Sus scrofa: one gene and its partner. The protein of the gene in region 1 interacts with the protein of each later gene in a pairwise test. Links are inferred from orthologs where the notes say so. Each region holds a gene or a part of one and is shown on either strand. Other genes may lie near its edges.

Region 1 (3,796 bases):
AGACACGCCTTGTCTTCTCGGAGGCCACCGCAAGGTGCCTGGTGTGACAGAGGCGGTTATCGGGGTACTGGGGTGGCTCCGGCCCCCTCCAGCTGACTGTCCTCCTTGGCCATAGCCCGCATACCTGGGGCCGCCCCGAACAGGCCCGCGCTGCGGGAGCAGGTAGACCGAAGGCCGCGTCCCCTCAGGAAGTGGACGTGTGCGTGGGGGCGCTGCTGGCCGAGCCGGAGGTCACATGACCCCGTGGAGGGTGGCCCGGGGCGATGGGCTGGGGGGGTGGGGTGACCCCGACAGGAGCTGTGCACTGGCCTGTATCGGGGGGAACCTGCCAGGCAGGGTTCCCTGCCAGGCCCCTCCCCCGCCTTGGGATGGGGTGCAGATGAACTTCCGCTTCTTTGGGGGAGAAGACAAGACTTTTATTTTCATTAAAAAAACAAAAAATAGAATGTCCTTCTGGCCTCGGCCGCAGGCTCAGTGACGCTGAGGGCAGCAGTGCTGGGGCGGGACGCAGGGTACAGGCCTCCCCCCGGGAGCCCCAGGCTAGGGGGCAGGAAAGAGAGCCGGAGGCTGCGCCAGGTCCCAAGGCGGCACTGTGACGGGGCTCCACTGTCCCCACAGCCAGGGGTGGGGGTGCTGCCAACAAGTCCCCGGGGCAGGGGGTGGGGGGCAGAGCCTTGGTGCCGCTCCCATCCTGGTGGTGGCAGCCCCATGCCAGGGCTGAGACTTCTCGCTCCAGGGTTTTGGGCTCCTGGAGCGGCCAGCGGGGGCTCCCCCCGCAGAAGGGAGCAGGAGTGGGGGGGCCTGGGGCTGCGTCAGGAAAGACACTCACGTGGCTGCTGCCGCCTTTCGAACGTAAGCAGGTTTGTTTCTTTAATTGTGTGTGTGCGTTTATACTCCTCTTTATTAGTGGATAAATATTAGAAAATCATCTCTCGGAAGGTGTGGGCAGGGGTGGGCTGAGCTTGCCCAGCCGGCCGGGAGCGGGCCCTTCGGGAGGCCCTGGCCGGGTCTGCAGGGTGAGGCTGTCCCGCCAGGGCTCGTAGACCAGCGTGTAGCTCTCCGCCCTCTTGACGGTGAACCTGTAGGAGCGGTTGGGCAGCAGGTTTCGGACGGCGACGGTGCAGGCGGCCACGGGGATGGCCCCGCACTGTGTCCGCTCCTGCTGGGTCCGCGGGTCCAGCAGCTTGAAGCGCAGCTCGAACTGCTCTGCCGCGGCCGGCTGGATGGTGACAAACCAGCGCAGGCTGACCCAGTCCTGGTGGGCCACCGAGGCCTTGCGGTCAAACACGACGGGCATCTTGGTGCTCAGCATGAGCCGGATGTGCGGGACCTTGGCGGCGCCAACGTCAGACACCAGGCGGTGCTTGATATGCAGGCGCCCTGGCACCATCATGGCGAGGAAGCTGTCCATGACGGCCGCCAGGTCCGCCAGCCGCTGCTCCACCAGCCCCCAGCCCGCCAGGAAGGGCCGCGGGTCGGGCGACTCCAGCAGGGCGTCCAGCTCGGAGCGGCCGTGGTCCAGCTGCTCCAGCAGGTCCCCGAGCAGCAGAAGCTGGATCTTGGTCTGGGCGGTGCCCAGCTTCTTCATGCGCTGGAACTTCCAGGGGTCGATGAGCTGGAACATGGCAGAGGGCAGCACCAGCGGGTTCTGGTCGCCCAGAGCCAGGTGCTTGGGGAGGATCTCGATGTAGTAGGAGCACTTGCGGAGGAGGTCCATGCGGGCGTGGTGGCGCCTGAGCAGGTGGGGGCTCAGGTCCGAGGTCAGGAACTCGCGCAGAGCGTTGCGCCGCTCCACGTAGGTGCGCCAGGCCTCCGGCTCCAGCAGCTGCTGATCCTCGGCCTCCTCGGCCTCCTCCTCCTGGTCCAGGAAGGACTGGGGACAGTCCAGCTTCATGTTGTCCAGGCCCAGGCCTGATACCTGGAAGTTCATGGTCTGGGAGCAGGGGATGGAGGGCGGGGCGTGAGCTGCAACAGTCACACTGGCCTCTGCTGCCCACCCGGGGGCTCTCTTGGGGCAGCGTTGGTGTGGGGGGTGACTTCAGGCCCACTGACCCCCCGGCCGGGCCCTCTGTCCTCCCTGGCCTGGGGGGCTGGTGGTGGGAGGCGGGGAAGGAGTTTGGGGTGAGGGCTGGTTTCTGGAACGAGGCTGTCTGGAGGGCCAAGTGGGCAGGCTGCCCATCTGGGTCAAAGTGGACTTGAGGGTGTGACACTCTGTTGATGGATTGTGATGACACAGGGCAGGGCAGTGACCGTGGGCTCTGGGCCAGAACCCCCCACGGGGAACCCCCACGGAGCAGCTGTGAGGCCACATCTGCTCCCCTGGGCAGTTGGGAGGACCCAGGGCGATCCTGTCTGAGCAGCACCCGAACCCGTGGGGACACCTCTGTGCTGCAGGCCCTCCCTGCCTCTCTGTAGGTGCAGAGCCGAGCTCAGGGAGGTGGGTGGCCCCTGGCCTCACCCAGGGGAATAATCCTGCCAGTTCCCGGGCCCGGCTGTGTCCTGGGGCCTCGGGCGCCTTGCTGAGCTGACTCCACAAGCAAAGCCCCAAATGGTGAGGTCTTGGCACCCTGCCTCACAGAGGGGGTGCATGGGGCTACAGAGCTCGCTAGCTTGCTCTCCGTCCAGGCTTTGCCGCAGCCACAGACGCCAGAACCCGAGTCTCCTCCTGCACCCTCTCCCACGCGGGCTCCCAGCTGAGTGTCCAACGATGCCTGGTGAACCCACAGCTGGGCACGGCTGTGGCCCCAGTCCCTGGCCACAAGGCTGGGGCTCCCTGGCTGCTGTCCCCGGTCCCAGCTGGCCTCCAGGTCAGTGAGACAGACCCAGTGGCTTCACCTGGGTGGGAGAATCCCTAACAGGAGCTGAGAGGCTGAGCAGCCATCCAAGGCTGCACGGTTAAGGTGCAGAGTGGGCTCGGGACCCAAGTCGGTCTCCCTCCCCAAAGGCCAGGCCCTGACCTTCCAGGGGCAGAGGCGGCGGACCAGGCCCTGGGCACTGCAGAGAGGATGTCTGGGGTGAGTTGCCAACCCAGACCAAGACCCCTGGACTCCTGGCAAAGTCCTGCGCTGGCTGGAGCCTGGGACAGATTCATGCCGCCTCCAGAGGCTCCAGATCTGGCTTCAGTTCAGAGGCCTCGCCAGGGCCCAAGTCTCTAGCTGGAAAACCGCAGAGGGGCCGCTGGGGAACTCGGGGAAGAAGCCGCCTGCCCTGGCCCCTGGCCTGCCTGTCCACACCTACACCCCCCCACCCCGACCCCCACCCCCCACCCCTGGCCTCAGACCCACTTCCCCTCAACCCGCCCACTTCCGCCACAACCCCCTCGTCCTCCAACCCCCGGCCGCCTCCCCGCGCGCCCAGCCTTCCCGCGCGCACACTTACCCGGCCTCCCGGCGCCGGCGGAGCAGTGCGGTCCGACTGTGTGTGCGTGCGGAGCCGCCGGTTCCAGCCTCCCGCCCGGCGCCCCGCGAGTTGCCATGGGGACTTTGTGACGCCCCGACCGCCCGGGGAGGGGGCGGGGAGGGGGCGGGGTGGGCGGGGAGCCAGGGCGCGGGATCGGGGGTCCGGACTGGAAGGCTGGAAGAGTTGCAGGAAGGTGCGAAGATTGCGCGGGGCGCGCCCCCCAGGCCCAGGACCCGGACCGAACAAACCGCTTGTCCCGGATGAGTCACCAGCCCCGTCCCTCGCCCTGGTCTCAGCTTGGACAGAACTGCCCAGAGGTTTCGCTCCCTTCCCTGGGAACCTAAGCATCACGACCTCTGCCCCAGCCGGAAATCTCCTCAAGCCTCAGGACATCCCT
Region 2 (3,812 bases), on another chromosome or scaffold:
AACTAATTTGTACTATGAGTGCAGTTTAATCTTCTGTAAGATGCTATCAAATTAAACTCTCAGCAGTTTTAAAAAGGGAGTTATTAGTAGAAAAACTGTCATTAAGATTTGATAATCAAAAAGGCAAGTAATTTGAAAGACTAGTTCCATAGGCGTGATCCATACAATTACTTTTAATACTATGGATAACCATTTTCATTGGTTAAAAAAAATTAACTTTGTATCACACTATGATTAAAAGTACTTATCTTTCCAGTTTCAACTTTCAAAACCACAAATTAACTAAATTTTTTGTTTCTTAAGATTACCAGACTGCTCTCAAAATGACATCAATTCATTACATTTTAACTTACAATCATTTTTTTTTAAAAAACTCATATTTGAGTGGCCTTAAAAGTACTAACATGTATAAATCAGCTATCCAAATTAGGATCTTCTTCCATCCCCAATATCGTATTTTTTAAAGATAGATGCTACCTTTTTTTATAGATCAGCACATCAAAAACAAATATTTAAAAGAGAAAGTTTAATTCTAGCCTATTTATTAAAAAAAAAAAAAACACAAATGTGAGACCTAAAAATAACATTTTATACCCCTCAAAGATAGATCAAAAATTACTTACCCCATACACCTGCAGCTAAAGATTTATTCTGATTTGGTTCTCTCTCATATTCAGGATTTAAAGACGGCTAAAAAATTGGAATAAAAAGAATCAAACAAATGTTTAAAATGCTCATATTTAAGAAAAAAAAATCCTTTTAAAAATAATCTCGGCGTTCCCCTTGTGCACAGTGGAAACAAATCCAACTAGGATCCATGAGGATTTGGGTTTGATCCCCGGCATCGCTCAGTGGATTGGGCATCTGGAATTGCCATGAGCTGTTGTGTAGCTCAGACGAGGCTCAGATCCTGTGTTGCTTGGCTGTGGTGTAGGCCAGTAGCTGTAGCTCGGATCTGACCCCTAGCCTGAGAACTTCCATATGCCATGAGTGTGCCTAGAAAGAAAGATAAAAAAGTAATCTCAAAACCATACTAAAAAATCTAATATAATGAACTCTTAACTATTAAAAACCAATTACTGGAGTTCTCTTGTGGCTCAGCAGTTTAAGGATTCAGCACTATCACTGCTGCAGCTTGGTTTCCATCCCTGGCCCAGGAAATTCCACATGCATCCAAAAAAAAAAGGGGGGGGGGGAGAAAAAGACTCCAATTATTCATAAACCTTACTTTGCGCTTATTCTAACAATTAAAATGGTTACTATCTACACTCACTCCAAGTTGGAGAGAACAAGGGAAGTGTCTTTAAATATTCTCATCCCCAACTACCTGAGGAAAAAGTGTGAATTTGGGGAAAAAAAAAAAAAAAGCAAATGCAAGGAGATGTAGTCTTTGCATCAATATGAGAAATCATCCTTTCTTAGCATAAGGTCAAGATCAGGGACAAGAAAATCAGACTGTCACTCAACTGTTCCATTAGGTTTCACCACTGGATGCTTTAGTTAACAAATTCATTCTCAAAGCAATTTACAGATTCATATTTCAAAAAGTGATGCTCAGGGTATTAAACAGAAAACTGAGCTGAGCACTTAATATATACTCTAAAGCTACTCTCAGCAGATATTTACTCATCAAAAAAGGGAGATTGTTTAAAATTCTATAGCGAATAAAATGACAAATTTATCCAAAATTGTAAAAGACCACACAGGGAGACACAGAAATTAATGGGGGGGGGTGAGAAAGAGGAATAAGATTGGGGGAGGAGAGAGTTATGAACAAAAAGCCTCTAAAAATGTTAAGATTAACTTAAACTGTCAATTGTGATCACTTTGGAAAATGAGGTGTCCTAATTTCCTAACACTTGATGCTTAAAACAGCACTTACAGAAATCTCATTTGTATTAAAATTACAAGAAACTTACAAAATCCTCAGCCTCAAACTGTTTGCGTTCTCTCTTGTCTTCTTTCCTCCCCGTTTCATTGTCGGGTATGTTATTTTCATGAAGTCCTTGGTTTTTTCCAGAATGGAAAATACTGCTACGAGAACGGGAGCTTCCACCATGGTATCCCCCTCGGTGATTTATGTTTTCAGTACCATTTCTTCCATGTGTACGCCATCCATTTTTTTCTTTCCTTCCAAAGTTACCTTTATTTAATAATAGTGAAAGTATTATAAATTCAAAGATAGTTACACTTAAAGATCCAATCACAATCAAAATATCCTTAGAAGAATATGAAGAAAAAAACTCTTGATTCTTAGCAAAATGTACCTCCATTAGGACGTCCAATACCAGAATCAAAGCCATCTGAAGAATTGTGTCGTCGACGATTCACATCATAACGATTTTCTGTCCATGAAAAGTTTTCAGAATGCTTTTCAAAATTCAATGACGACTGAAACAAATTATAATACAGGTAAACGTACAAATAAAACGACCACAACTTTTAAAATTTTTAGTACTCTAATTTCATTTATTTAAAAGAATTTTAAACAGTTAAGAACATTTTGTGGTTATTTCCTATGTGTTCGGTACTGGTAACTCATAAGATGGACTCTACTGTTCGTCTATTTTTTTCTACCTAACCACAAACAAGAGCACCACTCCTAAAGAACTCAACAATTATTTCTATTTACCCAAGTCTTTATTTTTTTATTTTTATTTTATTTATTTTTTTTTTGTCTTTTTGCCATTTCTTGGGCCGCTTCCACAGCATATGGAGGTTCCCAGGCTAGGGGTCCAATCAGAGCTGTAGCCACCGGCCTACGCCAGAGCCACAGCAACGCGGGATCCGAGCCGCGTCTGCGACCTACACCACAGCTCACGGCAATGCTGGATCCTTAACCCAGGGCAGGGATCGAACAAGGGCAGGGATCGAACCCGCAACCTCATGGTTTCTAGTTGGATTCGTTAACCACTGCGCCTCGACAGGAACTCCTCTATTTACCCAAGTCTTTAAAAGTAAAATGCTAGCGTAAGGGAATCAAGGCAAATACACTGTACACTTTTTTTTTTTTTTTTTGCGCCACACTTGTGGCATGTGAAAGTTCCCAGGCCAGGAATCAAACCCATGCCACAGCAGCAACCAGAGCCACTGCAGAGACAACCACAAGAGAACTCCCCTATAGTGTACTTTTTTTTCTTTTTGTCTTTTCTTGAGCCACTCCTGTGGCATATGGCGGTTCCAAGGCTAGGGGTCTAATCGGAGCTGTAGCCACTGGCCTAATCCAGAGCCACAGCAACTCGGGATCCAAGTGACCCACACCACAGCTCACAGCAACGCCGGATCCTTAACCCACTGAGCAAGGCCAGAGATCCAACCCGCAACCTCATGGTTCCTAGTCAGATTCGTTAACCACTGCATCACAACGGGAACTCCAAGTGTACTTCTTTTATAACAAAATGCTATACTGTGTATCACACACTATTTGACTTAAATAGCCCAAGGTTTTCTTCAGCATCAGAAAATTATGGCAAATGAAGCTACAGTTCTATTTTAAGTTGTCTAGGTTTATTTCCAAACTCCTCTTCCCCAAAGCAAATGCTTTTAAAAATCTGTCAAAAGAAGAATGTGTAAAAATGATTTTAAAAAATTAGAAATGTATTAAAACATTTAAAAGTCACAACTATTCATAAAGCTCACTGTTTTCCCCAATAATAATCCATTAATTTGATAAAGCCACATTCAAAACTCCATTTTTTTGTTTTAATGCCCTGATCATTTCTCTCAGTTTTACTAGTATTACAATTTCTTTCAGGAGTTCCTGTCGTGGCGCAACAGAAACGAATCTAACTATGGTTGCAGGTTCAATCCCC

Evidence for each region.
Region 2: the proteins of FNDC11 (region 1) and GPBP1 interact in binary tests that used the Homo sapiens proteins (3 or more experiments, as listed by UniProt). The link is inferred for Sus scrofa from reciprocal best matches to the Homo sapiens genes FNDC11 and GPBP1.

Annotation. Positions count from the first base shown.
Region 1 is NC_010459.5:62,556,818-62,560,613, reverse strand, and holds FNDC11 (fibronectin type III domain-containing protein 11), read right to left. Parts: upstream 2,321-3,796; 5' UTR 1,931-2,320; coding exon 926-1,930; 3' UTR 653-925; downstream 1-652.
Region 2 is NC_010458.4:36,265,568-36,269,379, reverse strand, and holds part of GPBP1 (vasculin), read right to left. Parts: intron 2,392-3,812; coding exon 2,268-2,391; intron 2,144-2,267; coding exon 1,920-2,143; intron 691-1,919; coding exon 624-690; intron 1-623. UniProt on the Homo sapiens protein: Functions as a GC-rich promoter-specific transactivating transcription factor.